4 linked regions of the Drosophila melanogaster genome follow. The gene in region 3 interacts genetically with the main gene of each other region. Each region holds a gene or a part of one and is shown on either strand. Other genes may lie near its edges. The genes, in order: ct, meru, Galphai and insc.

Region 1 (4,728 bases), on a different chromosome or scaffold from region 3:
ATAAACTATCAATGCTCGTCCCCGGTATTCCGCATTTCGTATTTTATATCCGTATCTGCATCTGTGATGGTGCTATGGTGGTGGTGACTACCCTATAAACCGGTTTCAATTCGATTAAAACGGAACCCAAACTCGATTTACTCTCATCTTTTCAATTCAACTTTTCTATTTTTTTTTTTTTAATATTTTTTAAGTCAGCAAATGCATTTGGCAATTAGTTCGGTTTTGTTGTCTTTCCATTTCCATCTTTTTTTTTTCTAGTTTGAATCAGCACAAATCAATGACAAAAACCTCATCTTTCATCTAGTTTTCGGTTTATGGTTTTTCGGATTTCGGTAATTGTAGAAGCTAAACAAAAAATCTGTTCGATGTTAATGGGTCAAGTTTATAGATTGCATTACGGAAATTAATTTTGCTCTTTTTAACTTTTGGTTCTTCTTTGGCTTCTGCTTTTTGTTCTTGCACTTGTTTTTTTTTTCAATTTTTTGTGATCGTTTTTTCGGTGCCACCGTTCTATATATTTAATGACAAAACTTTGTGTTAATCAAGCACATTTTTATTGTTGCTTTTTCGAATTCGATTTGTGTCAATTTTTTCGCGCGCGCTCTGTTCTTGAAATGTAAATAAATAAATAAGTGAAATACTATAAAAATTGTTTTATCAACTCATTTGGACAGCTGTAGACGTCTGTCTGCGGTTTGTTTAATTTATTTAATAAGCTTCTATTTTTGGTTGGCAAATTTAGTTATGTTGAATAACCTTTTTTTCTGCCGCAGAGAAATGGTATTTATGGATCGAGTTCTAATTTTGTTTTGTTGATCAGCATGCGAAGGCATGACGAAACCTTTCAAATATTGATTCATTGATCACAATCGATCATTGGTTGAGGGATCTTGAAAGTTATAGAAGACTTGAAGCTTTTGAAAGCCATTAAATGATCGTTAGGAAAGAGGAAAAAAGAACCCAAAACAGTGGCGCCTTTAGATGGGGTTTTGTGTTTTCGTTTAGGCCGCCAACACTATGCTCTATCACTATGTACATATCTAACATTTAAATATAACAAGCAAATGCATTTAATTAAATAAAAACCGGTTCTATTTGAGATCAGCAAAGCCCCATTCATAAAATCCTGTGTACACCACTGACTTCAAGTAATCCTAACGAGTTCTGCGGCTTCTCATCTTTTTGCCTTTGTTGTGGTTCTCCGGAAAAAGTCGATAGGATAGCTTTTGGTTTTGCTTATTTAAGTTTTATTGATTGCAGTTTGCATCGCCATATCTTGTACAAAAATATTTGTGGAGCGGGAAAAAACGCCATTCACCGACGGCAAATGTCTAGATTTTCCGGGAATTTTTCCATGTCTGTCTTTCACTGTGCGCGTCTCTCGCTTTTCACGATCAATCGAAGAAGAAACTCCAATTAAAAAATTTGCCCGGCTGTCGACGCAACCTAATTAACTTGCCAAACCATATAGAGAGTATTTTTATATATAGAAATATTCAAAAATATATACAGCAGTTGATATTTCCATGTCTGGTCTGGCAGATGATTTTCTTTTCCCCTTTTTGGCCTCTAATGTTATTTTGCCGCCTTATTTGTTCGGAGTCTGGCATTTGGCCAGCGAAATTCTCAGCATCGTCTGGCCCCCGCCTCCCGATTTTCCACGCCCCCTTTTACAGCGAAACCCCCATCTGAATTGTCTCTTCCGTCTGGCCGATCTTGTCTGGCTTTATCTTTTTCGGTTCACTGGTAGTAGAAAACAGAAAAAAAAACGCTTCAAAAAAAAAAAAAGTTATTCAAGCAATAAACTGTTCACTTATTACTTGCTTGTTGCACTTTGCATTTGTTGTTTTTGTTTTGTGCAAACAAATTTTTTTTCAGAAATCAATAATAGCAGAAAAAATAAATAAATTTACAACAAGAAATTAGACAACAATAACGGGCCAGCAACAATAAAAACACATTTGCCATAGACACGCAAACTCAATTAGTTAACTTAAGTTAAGTTAAGCAGTTTGCGGGGCCAAAATATGGGGGCTGTGTGGGGTTAAAGTGGGCGGCTGGGCGCACTAGGGTTATTGTTGTCAGCTGTGGGAGTTTCCAGTGAAATGCAACGAATATCACAGAACTCGGGAACTATTCACTGTTTAGTTACAATGATAATTGCAAATTTGTATATGACTTTTTAGTCTAATCAATGTATGGAAAGTTCTAATTTTAGCTTATAACGTTTTAAAGGCTTTCGGGCTTTTCGCGTTACGCTCCCTAAACTTTTCACTTTGAATACACAATACTGTATGAATCGAATTCATTTCATTCATATAAAGTTAGAAAACGCAAGTATCAAATTTTATGCTACATATAACAGGTGTAATTTCATCTTTTTGTTGACAAAAATAAGATACACCTTGCATGTAATATAAACGTAAGACTGTTTGTCAATGCGAATAAAAGTGAGAACAGAAGATAAAACACTTTTGCACCGAACATTTTACGAACCCGTAATCTCAGCTTGTTTGGCCAATTCATTGAACTATATTCATATTATTATTCTTGAAACACGAAACTTCTTGCTTTTAAGCACCGTTTTCCATCGTTTTGCTAACTTTTCTTACCTGTTGCCAAAACTGTGCCAATAAATAAATTTGCTCCTTTTTGAAAAACCAATCGTTGATTGATTGAACAGCCGTCAGATCCATATCGGCTGTCCCAGCGGCTTGTGGCAATGTTGGCTGCATTCGTGGGCTTTCTTGGGTTAATTCAATAATTCTCAGTCAGTTTTTGCTTAGGTTTTTTTGGGGTTTTCAGTTTTTGGATTCTACCAATTTGGGGCTAATAAGGCCTGGCATTATTCTGTTCTGTTGTCGTTTCGATTTTACTTGTTAGTTAGTTGTTATTTAATTCGGTTTTCGTTTTTAGTCATCACATTTACACCTTAAGTAGTATGTTTCTTGTTACGTGCTCAAAAAAATGCATAAATAAGCCAATTTCTGTGTGTTATTATTATTATTATTATGGTTATGTTATGTTTTATATTTTGTTCACTTTAGTTCCGAAAAAGAATTTTTTTTGATTTTTTTGGAAGGGGGTTTCTTCTTGTTGTTGTGTGGGGGATTTTGTTGTAGTCGTTTGTTGAATGGTGAGGGTATGATGTTGTTGTTTTGGTTGTTGCCTGTTGTTGTTGTGTGTGTGATTTTTTCAAGCCATTATCATTATGTTGTTGCTTTTTGGCTGTGGCTTATTTTGCACATGTTTGCTGTCGCTGTTGTTGCTTTTGATGTTGCTGTTGTTGTTTACACTTGACACTCATACACGCGCACATATTTTAGCGAACAAAAATGCACTTGAAAAAAATAATAAACAGTTATATTATACGTTCGTTTAGTCCTTTTTGATTTGTTTGGCTGTGTGCTGTTTTGTTTATAAATATGATCAATACGTTTCTTCTTCTTGGCAAGCGAGATTCATTCTTTTGCAATTATTTTTTTATGAATTTTTTGTATGAAGTGGGTGGGGGGATTCTTCTGCACACACACACACACGACGTACACACACAGTGAGAGAGAGGGGCACACACGCACACACACCCGCGCCGCGGCTAAGAAGAAGAAGCTGCACTGCCTTGTGGGGCAGTAGAATCCAAAAATCTTCTGAAATTCTCGATTTCTTTCGGCGACGGACGAACGAAACGACGTTGCCAGTCACGAATGCTGTTGATGACTGAACAAATCGAACGTTAACGAAGCGCCGACAACCCTCTGCCGCAGAGAGCGCCGACAGCGGCGTTGGCAGCGACAGAGGCGCCACAAACACACAACACACTCATGCAGCGCAACTCTCTCGCTCGCTCTCTCACGCTCCGCGCAAGAGAATCTCACTCAATTCCCGTGCACTGCTTTTGATTTCTTTCAATAGCTTTTTGATTTTCTCACTTTTTTTGCGCTTTCCTTCTCGGCTTTTTTTTTTACTCTTATTTTTGAGCATTTTTCTGCGCCGTCGCATGTCAGTTGCATGTATTGAAATTCATTCATTCACAGACACTTTGGCTAGTGCCCTCCCGCTCGCACATCGCTTTTCTTATTGGAAACGAAAGAGCCAGGCGCTCGCCTCTCTCCACTACTGCTTGTTGTTGTTGCTTATTGAGCGCAGGATTGAGTGCAACGTCGACTGTGACGCTGGCGGAGGGATTGAGATTGAGGATATTTCGGAAAGTTGTAATATTTTTTGGCTTTAGGGGGATTTACCTGGAATTCAAGTATTATTCTGAAACTGATAAGTTTTAAAGTTAAGAACTAAAGAACTAAAAGTTCCACGAGATAAGTCTTAGAATTAAAAGCAGCTGCTATATTCATCAAATGTTCGAACATAGTAAACAATAGTAGAAAGTGATGGAAATAAAAAAGTAAATACGAAGTGTAAATTAAGCTAAATGCAACAAACAATTCTATGTTTTGTTGTTTAATTTAATTTTTATGTTTTTTTTTAGAGGTAAATGTAACATTTAGAAACAATCTGTCCTTTCCAAATTTCCGCCACTTTATGATGCACCTTAAATTGCATTCCTAACTTAAGTCCCTTGGCTGGCTGTCTCTGTTCGGCTCTTCAAAAATCCATGGAATATTAAATTGGAGAGTAAGCCCCTTCTCAGCCTCCCGTTATTTTGTGTTTTTCCGCAAACCCCTGGAATTTGCAGTCCCGTTGCGGGATTTTCGCATAAAGAAAAGTTCA
Region 2 (7,925 bases), 8.9 Mb from region 3:
AGCGATATATCATGTTTAATTTCATTTTTCAATTCGAGAAGTTCGTGTTCAGTTTTAATAATGTCCTCGGCATAGGCTTCGATATTTTGTTGCAACTGCCCGACCGATAGCTCCATTTCCGGTCCCTTGTACCGTTCGTTCTGCAATCGGTACAGTCGGCACATTTCCGATAGCTGACGTGTTAGAGCGTGTTCCTTTTCATAGCGAACATTCATATCGGCATGAAGAGATGCCAACTTATATCGTACACTATTTCGCAAGGGCTTATCCTTTCGCCTCCTTATGCAGTTATTAACATTGTAGTTGTTGTTATTGCATTCGCTGGGAATCGCTGTTCTAAATGTTTCAACCGAGGCTTTGGTTATCTCGTGACGACTTCTTCTTCGATGACGCTGCTTGCTGACGCGATTCTCGGCCAGTTTATAAAGTTTGGATTTGGCAGTGTTTTCGGTACCCCTATACAGTTGGTCTGGCATTATAACCAGCACCAAGTCATTGGTCATCGTTTGCTTTTGGCCGTGCACTCTCTTCTCCTTTAATTTGTTCGGCACTTTTGGAGGCGTTTTTGTGGGTTTTGGTGGCGTCTTTTTACCCTTTTTCAGATGCAATAGCTTCTTGAGCCACTTGTACATCGAAAATCCCGTGGCTGATTGTGAATGGGGCACTAATTGCATGGCAAGGGGATCTCTGAAACTATCACGATGTTTTAAGGAGATGCGGAGCTGTAAAAAAACAGGAGAAATAATTATTTATTAATGAATTGAAGTTCGTTAAAAACTTAAAAGTTTATGACTTCTTGACCATGTTTTACTCCTCACTGTATATTGTTCTTATTTACGCCACAAATTGACTATTTTTTTATTTATACAAAACAAGGTAAAACTAAATATCCCACTTTATGATTATATTGTCATTAATACATCTCTAACAATAAAACTACCTTGGCGCTTGTTTTTAACCCTTTCCATCCATTAACTGGATAAGATCATCAAATAACAATTAGGAGTTCCTTTTCCTCGAATAACATTATTCCCATTGCTAATGGTTGGGGTCATAAAACATTTACAACATAATTAGACCAAAACGAAAACATGAACTTTGATATAAAAATCAATAAGCAAATTGATTTCACTCTGTGCGTCATAAACAAATAAATACGAAAAGCCAAAGCATAAGTCAAATGCGAGTGGTACTATATATGTACATATATATATACATATGTACATATATAATAGGCGCGGGTGTGACTTTGAAAGGGGGATATAGAGAACGTATGGAATGGGTTTTCGAGAACGACATGAATTTCTTGGCTTGCGTGTGGCGCCAGGAAAAAAGCGCTTATTATGCAATCACTGTAGACTTTTGGTTTTTTTTTTTGTGCTTTCGGGCCCCGTTCGCTGGTGTTTCTGTTTTATTTTGTTCCTTTTCTTTCTGCACGCCAGGTGGGATTCCCCTGGTCCACCGACCGTTGCCATTACCTCATTGTGTACACGGCTCCAAGCGCGCCAAACGGGCAAAATGGCCATGTTGCCATCATAGCACCGCTCTATTCCGCCCCAACTTTCCGTTATAATGTAATCGCTGTAGTCACGCGATGCTGCTGCCGTTTTCCTCTGGCCGCCATCTTGTTTTTCCAACGTGCGGAAAACGGGAAAATTGAATGAAACGGAACGAAACGCAAAATGAGAGAAAATAAAAGAAATTGTAAATAAGGAGCATAAATAAATAAAAAGCCAAATTGTGATGTATAAAAAAAAAAGTAGCAGTCACGACAGGATCGCCTGGGAATTATTATTATTAACCTACCTTTCGGATTATTGCCGCAGTAGAATCCATTGCCGTTTCGCAGTTCGTCATCAATCAGCGCCTTGATTATGTCATCGCACGTCGTCTTGTTCGTCACTCCGGATACGTAACGAGCCTCTCCGTCGTCCATCCAGATGGGTATTTCCTTGTGGCCTTGCTCCTGAAGGGTTGCCAGAAGAACAGAGGAGTATGTAGATCGATTAAGAGGATTGCCAGGTTTTTAGGAATGAGTTGTAAGATGGGGTATGGGTTTTAGAAGCAAGGGAAATTTTCAAAGAATTTCTTTATAGTAAGGTAATATAAATTTAAGGTAAACTCCTAAAGAATAATACTCATAATAATAGTCAATCAACTGTATTGAAATCTACCTGTACTAACTTTCTATATTGGATAGATATGAAAGTGCTCAAGGAATTATTTAGATTTGATTATATTTTGGTGGAAGCTCTATATATTTTCCTACTAAGCCAATATAATTAAATGGTAATATTGAGTTAAATCTCATTTTTATCTTATTTATTTATAAGCAAGTCCATTAAATGTTATCCTGTTCAATAAACGACTCCCTTTTGAGTTCTAAGCCCATTACCAGAACCATTAGATAATATCTAAAGAATTAAGTTAAGTCTCCTTTCGATTCTTACGAAAACGCAAGGTTGCAATCAATTTCTTGAGTAACAGACGCACTATCGAAGTTTCACACACGCTTATATGTAAGTATAACCCTATCCACATAAGCATATGACTACCGCCAGTGACTGCCCACCCAATTAGATGATTTGTTTTATTTCAGTGGAAATGCTGGCGCAACCGAAAATCAGGGGCGGGGACTGGAGTGGGGTGGTGAGTGGCCAAAGGAGCCGGAGGACCAGGAGCAGGAGGAGGAGGCACTTACCACAGTGCTATTAACGCCATAGAGGGAAATGGAACGGTGGCGACGACTGGCCTGGCCAGCGTTTCCGTTTTCCCTGCCGTGTTTATTTTTGCATGCTTGCCGATGTGGTGGTGCTGGTGCCATGGGTATGGCCAGAGGTATGGGTGGTGCTAATGGTGGCTCCCCCACCGATGGCGATTCATCCACCAAACGCTCCTCGAATGCAGCCTGCTTATTATTATTATTATTATTGTTGGTGTCTTGATTTTGACATCGTCGCGGCGGAAGAATGGGACTTTCGGGTAGATTCAATAGCGATGGACAGCTGTCCAGATTATCATCGATGAATGTGGAGTTCTGTTGTTGGGGCGCCATATTCCTTTGACCGCCTTTTGAAAAACCTCTCTGGCTAATTGGCACTGCAATGGAAAAGCGGTGGAAAAAATAGTTTAATACATATAGAGAACATGCAATATCCTTGTTAGACATTTTGTTGGTTCAGCTGGCTGTTCGTTCGCCTACGCCTAACGATCAATTTAGATTTGTTGCCCGCGATTAAATAAATTATGCAGTAGCCCTTTGCCGCACAACATGTGCACCTATATGGTACATATAGTACACATACATATGTATATGTATAGAGTTGCACCTCACCATAGACACACGACGCAAACCCATCTAGATTCCTAGAAAATTGCCTACCAACGTCAGTTGGCGCCGGTGGCCCATTATTCAGGAACATTGCCGGCGTTTAGGCTGTCGCACCATTCCCCCCCCATTCAATCCACCATTCGCCACTGCCACAAACCCAAGTGAAGCCATCGGAATCCTACGAGGCCTACTAGGACCCTATTCACCATTTCACGGCCCCTGTGGGCCCCCCACACATAATTTGTTGTTCGGGGGGCGTTGTACGAACATTGCAGTTTGTATGCAAATTCGCTTTTCCAGCCGAAAAACATTTTCCTTTCTGCTTCATTTTCTTTTTTTTTTTTTTTGGATTGCAATTGGTGGCCTGACTACTGACTTATGAATTAATGCTAATTTATGCCGCCGGAAAATGCAGCGAAGGAACTCAAATTATATAGATTGACGGCGGTTAGGGTGCTGAAATATTTTTGGCTAGCAATTTTCTAAAATATAAGTGCTGAAATTGCTTTGTTTTTACGGGAGATAGAATAGTCCTTGCAATGCAAAAGGTTAAAATATAAATTAAATATATACGATCATGTTATCCTGTTTAATTTTAGAATGAATGTTCCCAAATTCCATTCCAACTAATTCAATTACAATGAGTATTTAGATCTTTTATGATATCGAGATTAAAAGTTCCGAAATTCATTTTAACTGCTCACCAATTAATTTAATTTCAAAAATTATTTAAAGAACTACAACTAAGGTAAGCTCCCCAAGGAGCTTATTTGTGCTCAAAACTACAATTGAATCGGAATTTACAGAAGTTTTCAGAATTCCCTCATCAAATATTTATTTGCTCTCTGGACAGGTGCCGTTAGCGATGGGCCACGCCCCCGTTTCTATTAGAGAAATGAGTTATGAGTGAAGCAATTTGCAAAAGGATTTCCACCTGGGCCAATAGTCCTGCCACTAGATATCCTTGAACGGGGGCTGCCTTTGATTACGCTGGACATCTGGACATGTACAGTGTACATTTAAAAATGTAATTTCCAATCAAGATAAGTTCAAATGTAAATTTCCATTGGTGAGGTCAATTACTGAACTCTGACACGCCCTTTGCATTGCACTTAATTGTTTTGAGAGGGGGCTTGACTGCCTCCCCTCATAATACATTTATGAGAGGGCAGTTGGCCAAGTTGAGAAATACTTTTGACCCCCGAAAGTTCAATGTCTCTAAAGTTTAGCCAGCGATTGTGTCTCACTCTGGGCATTGTTTTTTTTTTATGTATTTTTAAGTCTTTAACAATTTTAGCCCGGCCCAAATTAATTGCTCCCCTGAAATCCTACTCGATTTTTTCGTTGCGTGTTGGATGGAAATTAATTTTGTTTTGGTACTGCGCATTGGATTCTAAAATGAAAGTAGAGGAACCAACGCTGTCGTGACGTTGGCAGTTCAATGGGGTTGGTACCGGTGGCGTATGAGTAATATAGCTATGGCTGTGATTTGATAATGTATTGTCCAAACTTGGATAAGAAAAAATTATTTTTGGCTTAGGGAAACTACTTTTCAATTAAATATGTAAACAGATTTGACTTTTATTTCAGTCGATCTGTTACTGGACATAGGAAGAATAGTATATATAGGGGTTTTAGGTTGTTTCTAAAGCTTAATGAAAACTCTTTCAATCGTTAAGATTGGCCTAGAAGTCTTAAATGAAAAAAAAACAAGTTAAATGGGGTATATATTATATATTATATATATATTATTATTATATATTATTGTATTATATTATATAATATATATATATATATATATATATATATATTATATATTATTATATATTATTATTATTTTATTAATACATTTTTTAGATCTTTTTTGGGGCTTTACTTTCCTACAACGTTTTTCGTTAATTCGAACAACTGATCTATATACATATAGATATACTGATCTGATACTGATATATACTGATCTATATCCATATACTCCTTATAAACCTAAGAACGCTCTACTTATTTTATTTTGTTCAAATTGTAATGGCTTAGAAATCGTTGTACAAAGCCGGTTTTTAAGTTTTGGCACCCGCAGAACCACAGAATAATAAAGTCAACTGTGAATTCTCCCAGTGCCAAGACTCAAAGTCAGCAAATTGAAGAGCTACAGCTCTGGATCGCTGGATCACCTGAGATCGCTTACCTTTAGATAGTTTCTCCAAATCTGGCAGTTGTCAGCACTTTTCAGGTTGATCCTTTTCGGCTTTTGGCCGTGTTTCTTCACTTTTTGGCAAGCTAGTGAGTAATTTGGTTCTGAAGATTGTATTTTTCAGTGGTCTTCACTGGTTCACACTGCAGCTGCAGCTGCAAGGACATGCTAATCCTTTGAGCTTTGACACTTGACTGAAGTTCAAATTTGAATTTGCGGCTATGTAAGGTGAGCTAGGCAGCGACGTCGACGTTGACTGCGCAGTTGGCAGCGCTGCCGCCTACCGGCCGGATAATAAACGAGTATATAAAAAGGTTTCTAGATCTAGACAGGTGCTAATGTTGCTGTCCCTGTCGCTAGCACTCGATTCGAGCCTGGCACTGAAAGCCTTTCGTTCCGAAGCGGCACAGGTCCTTGCTGCCCGAGGACTCGTGGTTGCCAGGAACAACGTTGCACAACAAATAACTGAACGGCGTATCCTTGACGACGGCAAGTGACTAACTAAAATTTTATTTGCTACCACACAAAACTTTAAAGCAAAAACGGTGCGAGCAGCTCGCAGGAACGCACACCGACACACCGACACACCTGGCGTTGCGGGAAGGGAAGGGGCAGGAAAGAAAGAGAGAGCGCCCGATCCGAGGGTAGGTTCCCTGCCCCTGCTGTCGTCATCATCATCGTCATCCTGCCACCGTCTTTTGGCCAACCACCAGCCACCACCGAAACTGAGTAAAAAAATATAATACGCTATATACGTCGGAGTGTTCCTACCAATTTCCACTAGCCCTAGCCTTCTAGAACTACTCTCTTTCGGCCAGGACCAATACCAATACCACTGTCATTACCATCTACCACTACCACTACCAACTACTACCACGACCACTCCCTTCGCTCTTTAATGCAGTTTGAGCCGTTCCATAAGCGAACTGTAGCGTGTGCTGCCCGCCAACAGCACCACCAACACCAGGAAACACCAGGAAACACTAGGAACCACCATCAGCACCAGCCAGAAATGCACTGGGAAAAATATTTGCTGTCATTGTGATCTTAACACTGCTCCTACTTCCTACCTACTATGATTTTCAGTAATATATTTTTTTGTGGGAACTGTTAAAAAGTTTTTATCGAAATACTTCAAGTTAACTTTCCTTTCTTTAGTGATTAATCCGCTTTTAGTCTATTGCATTCTTTCAGATACTTTTATTTTAATATTAAATGCGCATCTTAGTATTCTGATAATTTAAATTTAAATTTACATTCGCTTAAATATGACAATATTTTTAATACACACCATAAAAAAACCCCTTATTTACATATATTATTTCAAATAGATATAGATTTTATGAATGGGTTATGCTAATTACAATAAAGCAATGTTTTTTGCAGTGCACCAATGCCATGACGCGCACTTTGCGTTATTTGGTAAAACGAGATTGTTGATAACGTGCCACCAACAACAGCAGCAACAACAAACTATAAAAAACTCGCGGTACATAAAAAACGAATTTCTGCCTTGTTTTTATCCCCCCCAATCCATTTCGCCCACTCTTCGACCAGCCTATTTGCCACCCCCACTGTTTTTTCGCTGTGTATTTTATTGTTAATGGGTAGCATTTGCTTTTCGATTCAATTTTTTTTTCTGTATTCCTTTCGTTGTACATTTGTTGCTAACAGACTTTTTTCGGTCAGGATCAAAAAACTTAGGCTGGGAGTAAAAATATATGGAATCAAATTTGGGAGGGGTTAGCCCAATGCTATCTAAGAAGTAGTGCTAATGGTTCTAGCGACTGGCTTTTGTATCTCTATGAATGAGAAAGTAAAAGCCACGCTTGTGGAAATAGTTCGATAAGTAATCCTTTTATTGGAGATTATACTTTCATATAGATGTATTATTTTGATCGGTTTTTTCTTTGGTTTAATGTAATTATAAATGATATATATGTTACCCTTTGGCAAATGAAAGAACTGCATAATATTTATAATTGAATTACTTAGTTATGAGTTAAGATTATAATGTCAATGAAAATAGAGGTCTTCATAAGTCAAAATCCATACAAATTGCGAGACACAATATTTCTTCGAAATGCATTACACTCAATCCGATCGATCTTCGAATGAACTTGGTGTATATTTACCTTGGTTCCAACTGCTTTGCTTAGCCACCCAATAATTTCCATTCGACTCATTAGGATTGGGCAATACAAATATTCAATAATGTTCAAGCTCATTAGGAATCGATTGAATACAAGCTGAAATTATACCACCTCTAGCGAAGTTGATGGCAGGTGCCAACTTATCTGTGTAATATGACAAATTGCCCCACCTTGCAAGTCACTACAACTTTGCTTCGTAATGCTCAGGCAATTGCATTCGAATGGGGTTGGTTAGGGGTGGAGTGGTTAGGCC
Region 3 (7,601 bases):
AGTGCAGCTGCTTGCAGGAGAAGTGTGTCTCGATGATGCCAGTGGTCTTCACCCGCGTGCGTAGCACATCCTGCTGCGTGGGTATGTAGTTCGGTTGCGCGATCCTATCCAGCGAATTTAGATAGTATCCCGCCGAGTCATTCAACTGATATTCGCGCGATCGGGCGAAGCTCTGCTGTACGCCACCGTCTGCCCAGAGTTTCTTCATCAGGAGCACGATCTCGGGCAGCAGGATGCCCTCGTCGGCGGCAGAGGCGTGTGTGAAGAACTGGCGGGCAATGTCCGTTCGGCTCGGATCGGCAAACTCGATCTTCAGGCGTCCCATTGCGCGGATGATCACCATTAGACTCTGCACCGTGTTGCTGAAGACGACGCGACGATACTCCTCGCATTCCTCCTGCGAGTAGCCCGTGTCATGGATGATCTTCATCTGTTTCACAATCGTTGACTTGCCCGACTCTCCGGCTCCTACAAAAGAAATTCAACAGAGTTTATTAGTTAAGGTGTACTATCAAAGTTTATAAAGAATCATTCCAAGGAAGTGTGAGCTCAATATTTGTATGCACCAAGTTCAGGGCGTAAAACTGAATGAATGAATCGATGAGTTCGGTTTCGGGAAGGGGCTTTTAAGTTTGCCAAGGGGAACGGAAGTGGAATTTATGAATGAGACGATCGAGAAAAGTTGCTCAATTGCGCGACTCAAGAGGTCACGCTTAATTGCGCTGGTCTAGTTGAGAAATGAATGAACATCGTGTATATGGTCATTTAATATAGCATGTCGGATTTCAATACGAATCAAATGAACACCAAATAAGGGTCAATAATATTGTGATAACAGATCAAGTTATATGCACATCATCATGCTAAAGATAATCCAAATAGATATATGCATTTTCTAAGCGTACTACTCTGTAATTTATTATAATTTATTAACTTGCATGGCCGAGCCCTGGAGTTCGTTGAACCACCCACCCATTAGTTATCAAAGGCGTTGGAAATTGCGGAGAAAATTAACTGGGCATAATTTTATTCGCCGAGTGCCTTCAATTGTTAAATGAGACCTGACCCGTCAGCGTTGATAAACAACAAACACACGGGCTCGTCTGGGCAGTTTATTATATATGTAGTACTATGTATATTATCTGCTGCGTCGAATGATAAAAAAAAAAATATGAAACATAATCGCATTACGTGCTCGCCAGTTTCCCTTTTCGCTGAAAACTAAAGAAGTTGAAATCGCAGAGCAAATGGGCAAATACAAAAATTGGCAAATCTGCCGGTCCAAGTAATTTCGAATATCTATAGCTATATATAAACATATATACACGATGTTGGGGCATTGCAACAATGGCGCATTAAGCCGACTTTTTGCTGCAGTTGGTAGTTGGGTCCATTCCCAGCCACCGGATGATTAGGTAATTGCCAAAGCCAAAACTGCGACTTTACTTTCACTTTTCTCAACTTTCAGGGCTTCGATACTTGCACTGAAACTTTAATTGTTTTTACTATTCGTACGTATATCAATCAGCCATGGTTGAAGTTCCCTTGGGGCGGATGGTGCTCATTCAATGAAGATTGGTAAGTTTAATACATATGTTACGTACATTTATGAAGATTAAGAAATTCAGCCTATAGTTTTAGGTACCATAATGTGTTAGAATAGGGTCCACTCTAATTGTAATGTGCTGGCCACTGTTACACCTACTGTTAATATATATTACACTAAATGGCCACTGTTACATTCACTGTCAATATATATTACATTAAATTTGTTTTATAAATTTTTTTGAGTTATTGTTAAGACTTCAATTTTAACCAATTCCGAACAATGCTAACTAATTTTGCCACCAAAAAGTGTTGGAGCGAAAGAGACGCCTGCTGAATGCTGATAATGGGCAAACAACGGTCGCCGCATAATGATGAAATTGACAGATTTGAATACGAATATGGACATAAGGCGATGTTCAAACTTGCCACCGTGTGGAAAAAAGTAGCGAACAAAGCAATCCACAAATGAGCGGCTGGAAAAAGGTCAATTTAATAATAACACTACTAACAAAATGCGAAAGAGTGTGTGCGTGTGTGTTGGTGTGGCTGGGCCTTCATTTATCAATGCACCGTTAGCTGTGCCATAACACGCGCCCGGCCGACTGCGGGTGCGAGCGAGAGGCCAACAATAGGGCTGGAGCGAGACGGGCTCAGAACAACGGCGATACGCACAAAGCCGCGTTTACAAGCTCATTATCATCGCGATGGCCACAACCAAACGGTATTATAATTAACATCATTAAACAGTGAATATCGGCGAAAAAAGAATCGGCGGGGAATGCAGGAATTCTAGCTTCTATTGATATATTTTATAGTTGTTAGAAGTTGCTAAAAAAACTTTTTATTATATTTATTAGAATTTGAAATTGTAAACAACATTCAAATATTTGTTCAATTTGTCATAAATGATTAAAAAATCACTATTTAGCTAGATAGGAAATTTAAGGAAGACATGCAGTTTTTACTGCACCAACCAATTCGTTAGATAATTACTTATCGAAATTAGAATATTCATTGGAAACAGGGTGACTAAGGCTACGCCATGCGATGATTTAAAAAAGAGGGGAGAAGAAAGAACAATAGCTGTAGACAGCAAGAGGAGGAGAATCGTAAGAAAGTGTTTGCGCCATGAGTAATCAAGTTAAATGGCGCCTGGCCTCAGTTATCGAAGTGGGAAATGTGTTAATCAGCGGGGAGTGTGAAATTGAGCGGACCCACCGAAAAAGTAAACAATTAAATCAGATGAAATGCGGCCCCAAAACGGAAGCCCCCCACCTAGTAGTGACTTTCACGCAGATCTCTCGATTATCATGAAATTTCCTATATGTGATGTACATACATATGTACATCAATTATTTAACCACATATAGTATATTGACGTACATATGTATAAGGTCGCTCGCTTGGCGATAATTTTGATAAGCCCAATGATACTTTCAGTTTAAATGTGTTGGTAAGCGAGTTCTTAAATAATTGTAGATTATTAAGTTGCTGTGTGTTGACAGTCTGAGTGCCGATTTTGATATTGGTGCGCCAGCAGCATGACACTATTTTGTTTATATATTATTTTCTTCCCATTTTTTTCATATTTTTTTTTTTTTTTTTTTTTTTACAGATATCCGAGTTCTTACTCATGCCCCCCCCATTGGAATTCGTTTTCTCTCTTCGGTTTGCTGCTCTTTCCTTGCAAATATCATCAAAATAATGCAGTAATTCACTATCTTTGCCCTTAAGCACAATATGTTTGGTTGAAAAACGGTTGAAAAAGTTGTGCTTTTCAATTGAAAGGCTTGCGGAAAGGGGGGGGGGTAAGGAAAAGGGGAGAGGCAGCAGAGTGTAATATAAATTGAGTGTCAGCTGAGCAGCTTTATTAAATCTACTCAATAAGCGCAGCGTTGGGGGCTGCCAATTCCGATTCCAATTCAAGTAAGTAGTCGCTGTACACTGGTAGAAATTACCAATAAATTCAATGAATAATATATATATTTATACTAAATTATAAGCAATGTCTTTACTGCATAATTTGAAAACTATATTTTTTAAAGATATTTTTTTTAGCAAACTAGTACATTCTTCTTTTTCTTTCCGTGTAGCCGCGACAGTTGCATTTGATGGCGGGCCCATTTATTTGCGCTAATATCGTTCACCCCACTTGAAATGTCAGCGAACAAACAACGAAGCAGCAACAAAAACAGCCAATTACTCAGCTGGAAGTCGGAGGAAAGCTGCAGCAGCTCGGAGATCGGAGATCAGAGATCGGTTTTCATCATGATCCAGAAATTACAGAACACACGCCCCACAAGGTGCAAACAATTGAATCAAGTGTAAAATGTTGGGCTAAATTTCAAAATGCAACTGGTGCAAGCTGTTTTCTTGGCTATGTAAACCAGAAGCATTTACACTGGTCAACCGGGGGTTTGGACGAAAACAGCTGGGATACTGAATGATAATAGGGGATATCTTTTAATGGGGATGAAAATGGTAGAATTTTCCTGCACCTTTTAGCGGGCATTTTCCAAACCGGTTTACGAGGTTTTTCATTGAGGCAAACAGTTTTCCTTATTATCTTTAAGCCTGCAAATACAGTGGTTACTCACAAACAAATATAGTGCAAGGTGCGGTGGCTGCTGATAAGCTCGATAAATGTTTTACAGTGTAAATGAAAACTACACTATGTTCTAGGTTCCAAAAAAATCATTTACTAATGTGCATCATTTTTTTTTTTAGAAAAATCCTTTTGAAATGATAACATTTGACATTATGAATTAATTTAGTACAGTAAACCCTATATATCAGTTCACTTAATAAAGGTGTAGGTTGCATAGCCAGTCTTTGCTGTACTTTCCAGCCTACCACTCGTTGCCTTAGTCATCTTGGCCCGATTCATTGGCCAATCAGCCGCGCTGGAGGAAAACTTCCACGGCATTGTTTTTCGCAAATGAATGGCAATGAAATGAAAAGTACACACGCAGACGGTGAAATATATCATCGTTCCCATATGCCGTGCATATAAATCGGCGAGTGGAAATTTAATTGCAGAAGGTTGCAACGCAGCGAGGCATTCAGTTTCACTGCATTTGCCGCAGAGGTCGGGTCACCAAAAACCATACATACATCATATATGTATGTATGTATGTATGCATGTATGTTTGTATATGCGATACGATGGCGCCTCGTCGCTTGAATGGTTTTTCCTGCAAAGTGGAAACCGCTGCGCTATCAACAAACATGTTTCCATTGCGGCAATGGGATCCGATTCGATCCACTTGTTGCATCGATCCAAAAGATCTGAAAAGTGCGTGCCAGCAGATGAGAAACGAGCACTGAGTACCGAGAATCTAGAATCGAGTGTATCCGCACAGTCAAACCGACATTTGGTTTCAATTTACGTTCAATTCCCTTATCGCCAACGAATTATTGGACACAGACATTGCATAATGCACGATCTACGAACAGACGGATTTGTTTAGCCCCAAGCAGCCACATAAACATTGGTTTTCCCAGATAAACAGAGCTGCATGGAGTCTACTTACTCCATTCCATGCATATTTATAGTCGAAATATGGGATAGTTGGGGACTTTAGACTTTTATGTTAAACTGTTAGCTAGAATAACATGGTCTTATAATAACGAGTGATCTTAAAAACAAATAAATTACATTTTTCTAATTTTAGTCTTACTAATTCGTTATACTGTAACTCTACTGTATTGTTTCATCCCATGCCTTCCAGCCTTTTCCAGACCCTTTCGCACTGGAAAAGCCGGCAAAAATCCTTGCCCCAACTCACCACAGCCGAAAGCGCAAAGCAACGGCACCCAGCGGATACCCACCCCGCCCAAGCAAAGCGAGCGAATGGAAAAAAAAATGAGGTCACAACGCGAATTTCAGCAAAGAATTCGCAAAGGGGGGAAATACCGGAATAATGCTAGAGAGGTGAAAAGGTGAAATGGAAGGCGAACGCACCCAGCAGCAGCAGTTTCACCTCCGAGGCGGCCCGCTCGCCCTCCGCCCGCAGGGCGCGATCGATGTTCTTCGACCGCTCGATGGCCTCCTTATCGCGTGCTGTACTCACGGCACAACCCATCTTCGAAATATGTCTTTAGCGATTTGTTGCTCCTTTCTCACTTCGCGCACTCTTCTCACACGCGATTTTTCCAACAATTTCGAGATGCGTCTGCGCGTCGTCGGCTGTACACTTTTTTTCTTTTCGTTTTTTGTGTGCGTTTCCACCTCTCTTCCTTTTCACACAAACACACCACACATGCGCAGCGCACGCAAGCACACACACACAAACACACGCACACACACTGGCTTGAAACGTTTTTGGGTTTTTTTTGGAGATTAGCCCGATTGCATTGCTGTTTTCACGCTTCTTGCTGCAGCGGCAGAGCCGATTTAATATTCTTTTGTCGCTTTAATTTGCTTATCCGCTGATTTTGCTGTGCGCAATATGATTCACTTCGCGTCGGATTGGTGTGACTGTTTGCCGAAGTTCACAGATCGCTTGCTCACTGGCGTTAGTGCATTGCACACGATCGTTTGTGTGGCAACGCTGCCGGGTGTGGTACTCTGCTAGCTGCAGTCTGGCAGTACTCGCGGGGTGTGTGACTTGGCTAGCATCTTCTTGTAGGCAACTGTGACGTCACTTTTGGGCGGTAAATTTCAAATTAATTTAATTGATATACACGCATTTTAATTATCGCAACTTTGTAAACTTTATGCTTGAATGCCACTCATATGATCCTGTTTCCGCTGTTCAGTCGTGAGCCATACATGCATTATGCCCAACTTGCCCTTTGCATTTCAGTTTGTTGTTATAGCGCTTTAAGTGTAAATAAACATAGCCGAAAATATGATGTTGTTCTGAAATGCATGCCCCGCCACTCCCCCCTCATCAACACCAATGCAATGTGCACGCAGGCCGTTGGAGAAAAAGTTCTCAGGGCCCTGGCATAAATAATATTTGCCTTTATTTTGGGACAATTCCATTCCATTCTCGATTTGAATCCCAAATGTCTGCAGTTGCATGCGACGCAGGTACAGTGGAGCTCCTTTCTAACAAACTGACAATATTTAGAATCATTTAAAGTCAATTCGAAGAACAGAACTTTTTAAAAAATAACATAAATACGTCAATTCTTAAATAACAAAACATATGAGAACTAAAGAAATTACTTTCGTTTGCACTGTTAATCTTTTTATTTAAACTGAGCTTATATTTTATTGAGCTTATATTTTTAGTAATATTTAATTTCATTTTTTTTAAACTTATTTTTAGAGAATCATGCATATGCAATGATCATATAATTAATAATAACTTTATTAATGCAATAATATTAATATTTCAAAATTTCATTAGCATAATTCCACTTATAGAAGCTCCTCTGTTTTTTTCCAAATCGATGATATTAAAAGAAACTATTTTGTGAATTTTGTGGTATGGAACGTGACGGGGGGGGGGGGGGGGGGCTGGTCTTTCCGCAGCTAATTTATCTAAACAAAGCGATGCGAAGGCAGGAAGACGAGGATGCGGATAAAGATGAGAATGAGAATGAGGATGAGGATGGGGTCGCAGTGCAAAAGTTTTGCCGCCGCCGGAGGACGTCACATGTGGCCACCATCCCCCTCCCCTCCTCAAGAAACACCCCCACCCCCCTACATCCACCACCCCTCCTCTTGCTCTACCATGAATATAAAGGCCATCAACGGGTCATGATTTACACATGTTTACACGAAAAGTGCGGCATTTGCAGAGGGGCGTAGGAGTGGCGGGGAGAGGGACGGTGAGGAATTAGGGGGCATGCGGGGGTATCTGCTGTCTTGTGAATGAATGATCATTTGTGCGCTACCGAACACCCTGCAACCTCTGTAATTTATCGTAAAAAGCACAAGCTAGAGAAATATGGATTTATGCGGTTTTCGCTGCGCGTGCGAGCGAGAGAGAAATACAGTGATGCTGCACTGTGGGTGGTCGCTCTCATTCCATCTCTGTCGCACTTACTGCCTGCAAATGCGGCGCACGCTGCCACATTGCTGCTCTTGTTGTTGTTGT
Region 4 (4,902 bases), on a different chromosome or scaffold from region 3:
CATTGATTACATTTTTTTTAGCTGCACTCGACTCGGGGATCTGCGTTTTTGGGCTCTAGGAGCTAGGAGCTGGGATCTGGTAACTGGGAGCTGGAAAACTGGGTACTGGGTACTGGGAACTGGGACCTGGGCGCACGTCCGCACACTTGGCACATTTGTCAGGGCGACGCCGCGATGTAAACATCTTGCACGTAGGATCCGGGGTCCTTTTGCATCCTGGCTGGATGGCACGACAACTAGTTGTAGTTGGAATCGGAGTCCTCGTGCTGCACGGGGTCTTTGAACTGACAAATTACATTGACAACGAATGGGGCGAAATTCCATTCGTGTGCACTCTGAACTCCAACTCCTCTAGCTCCCCAGAACTGTCTCATTTTGTGAGGCTCCACACTGAAAAGTTTGGGGGTCAATGCCATGGCATTTCATATAAACAAAAAGTTAGGCATAACTGTCAGCAAGCAAATAAAATAAACAAATGTCAATAAATGACAATTGATTGTGCTTTTCAAAGTTTTCGGCCCAAACCATTATTAGTCAAATCAGATTGTCTATTTAGTTTACATTGTGTTAATGATTTAAAACTCTCGGTTTGGACACGATTTATTTGTATAGCCATTTGAAAATGGCATTTATTGTCATTTTTTTTTTTTATTGCTACGCGTTGTTAAAATTTCTTGAAAGGTGTCAATAGCAAACAGATGTTAAACGAGATACAGTATTGAATATTGGTTTTATTCTATGAATTTCGATCCTTCATAAGCGAAACATTGTTTTCATTTGTTAGTTTCAGTGCACTTTGTTCATTAGTTGTTTGTGGATTTAATTTGCTTACTTGGCTCTGTGCTTTTGCTTATTGTTTCAGTTAGTTTCGCAATTTGGAAACTATCTCAAATTGGCAATAGTGAAAAGAGCAAACACATCGTGGGCTCCTCTTAATTATTTTCACCGACGAACGGGTGGGCGATCGAACTCTTATGGCTGTAATAATTGGTGCAAAATTGTTCAATTGCCTAATTGCTGTCGATTGCTCATAATTTTTAGTGTAACACTGTGTATTTGTGGCACATTTTCGTTTTATGGCCACGAGCGTTCATGAATGAATGGGCTTTATTTACAGGGCATTTAAAAGTTTCGGGTAATCTTATCACCCAGAAGTGTTCAAACTTGCGCAAGTCATCAAACAAATTTCGAAACGGAAATACCAAAGGGTTGAAATAGTCTAAACGAAAAGATAACTGCCTTAAAATTGCGCCCAAAATTCGCACAAAATCGCAGTAACAATAACAAGCGAACCTAATCAAAAATCCAAAATCTCAGGCAGCTGCGCATGCGTAGCAGATGAAAGAGATAGCGAGAGATCGCACCTTTGAAAATGCTACCGGAACAGCTGGCGCAGAAGAGCGAGAGGGAAGACAGGAGTGAGTGATAAGAAATAGCAACAAAAGCGCATAAACCACCACCAACTACTACAACAACGAACGCGACAAAGCGAACAATGCTCTTCATTATGCCCGTTATTATTAAACAAATAGGGAGAGCGAAAGAGAGAAAGGTGAGAGCGCACCATGTTGATAACACACCCCGTGTAGCTAAAAGTTAGCCAGATTCACAATTAAAGGAGCTAGAAATGCTGATATATGCTCAATTTGATTTATGATCACCTATAAAAACTTGATACTGATAATAGCAGCTAATAATACTTTAATTTTCAGTACCTTAAGACACATAATTCAAAGTATGCACTCAATTAAAACATTGTATTAGATATCCTTAGCTAGAAAGTAGTCAAGCTGCCAGCACTGCCTACCTTACTCACCCAGGTAATTTGACTCCGACTCTCCGGCTTACTGCTCTCCCACCCCGGGAATTAGAAGTCTGAGTCGAAGTCGCCAACTGTAGCCGCTCATTCGATTCCCAGCAGTCGAAGCACGCAGACGCAACCGCTGCGATCGTCGCGAGATATTTGTGTTCGATCATTGTTTTCGTATCGTTCGGGTTAACCACGTTCGTTGAGTGTCGTGTCGACTTGTGTTTACCGTTGTGCAGTGTTAAACTATTTACGCTTTGTCTTGTGGGTGCAGCACCCCCACCACCCAGCCACCCACTACACATACGCACTGTCAAGTTTTGTGGTGCCCAAAAGTAATCAAATGACACGTGCTTGAAATACACATTTTACTATCCATCAGTGGCGGCCGAAACAACAACAAAAGCATAAGCCAAACTTGGGATTACCTCGGCATTGTTTATACAGGAAAGCGGTAAGTTTTGGCCACAATAAACCGTAAAGCACATTCGGAATGCTTTGACCCCAATAAGCTTAACAATAAACACAAATATTCAATACGATTCCGCATACGCCCCTCGTAATTACACATGCCTTAATTCACATAATCACAAACTACAGACATATGTATATATTTATGTACCTCCGCCCATTTATTGAAGTAAATTCCGATGGTTTTTATTTTTGCTCATTCGAGGACCTCGCTAAGCCGCGTTTTATGACTCAGGAGCCTCACAAAGTCAAAGTCGTCAGACCGCAAACTGATTTCGTTCGCTTTTCTCCGAATGTTCTTTATAACGTAGATCCCACAAATGAGTCATCCGTGCGCTTGGGGATACCGGAGTGGATACATAACTGCCTGAGATACGTATGTATCGTATAATTGGGGGAGGCAGTGGGCTAAGGTGACTGATCAGGTTGATGGGGAATGAATGAGCTGGGGGTGCTGGTGACTAAGCCCCCAGCATTGGATAACGCTAATTGGGTTGGGTAAAGAAATGTGTGCACACAGATGTGATAGTCTGCTGGCTAGGAAAGAGTCACCTCTAAGGCAGTTGTGAATGGGTTACATTGAATAACATTCCAGTCAGTCCTCAAAAATATCCAGTTATGTAGCTTGAAATAAAAAACATTTCTAAAAGAAGATTTTTAAGTTTCTTTGAATGTTTTGGTTGGTCTCTTACATTTTAATCAGCTTATGCATTTGAAGAAGTTGGCTTTCGCCACCTCGAATACTTGTTATCTCGACTCATCTGGAAACCTCAGAATATATCAGTGGCACGATTTCAATCTCACCGCATTGTGGTGTTTCGCAGATTTCCCTAATTTCAGTTTGCCCGCGCCTAATTGCAATAATCAAGGGAGCACCGCATAATCTCACTGATCTAGTTCCAGTTTAAGAGCGTTTCTGCGGTCTCGATGGCTCCATTAGAGTGCTAAACACCGGCCATTACGGCGGTCATCAGGAGAGGTGTTATTACCTGGACGTCTGGACGTGGAAACCAGTCGGCACTGGAAGTCACTCACCTGTTGCGGCCAAGAGATCGATATCATTGACAATTGGTGTCGACGGTAGCAGCAGTGGTATATAATGCCAGTTCGATATGTTGCTACCGTTAGATGGGAAATGCCAAAGCAATGATGATTGTCCATTTGAGTGGGATTAACGTTTAATTTGGCTTAGTTTATTGATTTTCCATCGAACAGGTCGGTTAAATGTCAGGGAATGTCGCGAAATGGAACATTTCGTCGATTGCATTTGCTAAACCATTTGCAACTCTTTGTTTTTTGCTCACTCATGTGTCAGTTTGACATTTTGCAACAATGGTCGATTCTATTGAACGGATTATGGCTGCCGCGACTTGAATAATTGCACGGTTTTAATGCGTTCATTCAGTTTTTTACATAATTAAATGATTGTTTAAAACTGATTTATTATTTAATTGTTTGCCACTCGAACGACAACAATTAATTATGCAATGGCGCAAAGATGCGATATAAATAAATAATAATTTCATTATAATCAATGCAACAGCTGCCAGTGGGCGCAAGTGATGCGCGGAAGGGGCGTGGCAAGCAATTAAAATTTATTACTCTTATTTTGCATTTATTCCATTTTAATTTGTCGTTTAAATGTCAAAACTATTAAAATAATTATGCTGGATGCCGGATTAATCAATGCTCTGGCCTTTGTCCAATCGATTTTGATCTGGTTGGGCCGTAACTTTTGGTTAATTAATCGGGGTTACGAGCGGGGAAATTTACCCCATCCACCCCATTCAACTTTCCCCCATTTCACCTTGTGTCCAATTTGTGCGGCTGACCCCAATGAGCCAAGTTCAGTTAACACTTAACCACCCCGCATATTAACTTAATTATCATGATTAACATTTTCTGTGTAATTTCTGTATTTTCGCTGGCCGTTCTCAGTTGAATTTTGCGATGCAATTCCCATTATTCGTACCTTTTAAACTGACCAGAACTTAAATTTGTTATTCAACACGCTTCCCTCGCTTTTTTTCTGTTTTTTTTTTTCTTGATTTGTTTATTATGAAATGCTTTCGATAACGAACCATTATCATATCTTCATGCGATATGGCAAAGAGTTCCGTTGATTTCTTTCTGTTTTCGCAGATTGAAGTGCATAAATTATTTTGTCTCTATTTTTAAATTAATTGGCAGATTGTCGCAGACTTTAGAATTCTATTTGGTCGCAAACTTGTTTGGCGACAACTCTATTAGGCATTTGCATATGAATTTCGACTGCCTTTTGTGCCTAATTAGCCGGCAAAAGTACAACGAACTTCGAAAATTGTCTTATTTTCTTAGTCACGAATTTAATGTACAATACATCAATTTCTACACTATGCAACACACCCAATTAAGTGCAATTTGTGACTTTGTGAGCCTCATTAACTCATCGCATCTCAGCTCAGCTATTTCTCCTCGTGGAAACCGGATTGTTAGCTAAACATTTTTTACATTACTTTGCCTTTGCCTACTAATGAGCAGAATTACTCATGACTGGCCCATGTAGATATAAATATCGATTGAGGGGCTGTTTTTCAATCAATTTAAACGGCGTGCCGTGGCAGGGGGAGGTGGTAATGAGACAA

What was found.
Region 1: of Galphai (region 3) and ct, changing one suppresses a phenotype caused by changing the other (phenotypic suppression), as found in Drosophila melanogaster (one study listed by BioGRID).
Region 2: of Galphai (region 3) and meru, changing one enhances a phenotype caused by changing the other (phenotypic enhancement), as found in Drosophila melanogaster (one study listed by BioGRID).
Region 4: of Galphai (region 3) and insc, changing one enhances a phenotype caused by changing the other (phenotypic enhancement), as found in Drosophila melanogaster (one study listed by BioGRID).

The regions. Positions count from the first base shown.
Region 1 is NC_004354.4:7,607,426-7,612,153, reverse strand, and holds the start of ct (cut), read right to left. Parts: upstream 3,007-4,728; 5' UTR 2,739-3,006; coding exon 2,616-2,738; intron 1-2,615. UniProt on the Drosophila melanogaster protein: Regulator of cell fate decisions in multiple lineages. Specifically, functions as a determination factor that specifies sensory organ identity in precursor cells. Probably also involved in cell type specification of Malpighian tubules.
Region 2 is NT_037436.4:15,838,031-15,845,955, forward strand, and holds the start of meru (meru), read right to left. Parts: upstream 6,033-7,925; 5' UTR 5,514-6,032; intron 5,466-5,513; exon of another isoform or gene 5,376-5,465; intron 3,100-5,375; 5' UTR 3,056-3,099; coding exon 2,702-3,055; intron 1,967-2,701; coding exon 1,807-1,966; intron 1,625-1,806; coding exon 1,479-1,624; intron 723-1,478; coding exon 1-722.
Region 3 is NT_037436.4:6,974,006-6,981,606, forward strand, and holds the start of Galphai (G protein alpha subunit i), read right to left. Parts: upstream 6,040-7,601; 5' UTR 5,634-6,039; coding exon 5,513-5,633; intron 5,218-5,512; exon of another isoform or gene 3,642-5,217; intron 3,475-3,641; exon of another isoform or gene 3,164-3,474; intron 3,002-3,163; exon of another isoform or gene 2,317-3,001; intron 469-2,316; coding exon 1-468. UniProt on the Drosophila melanogaster protein: Guanine nucleotide-binding proteins (G proteins) are involved as modulators or transducers in various transmembrane signaling systems.
Region 4 is NT_033778.4:20,833,029-20,837,930, reverse strand, and holds the start of insc (inscuteable), read left to right. Parts: upstream 1-1,902; 5' UTR 1,903-2,261; intron 2,262-4,902.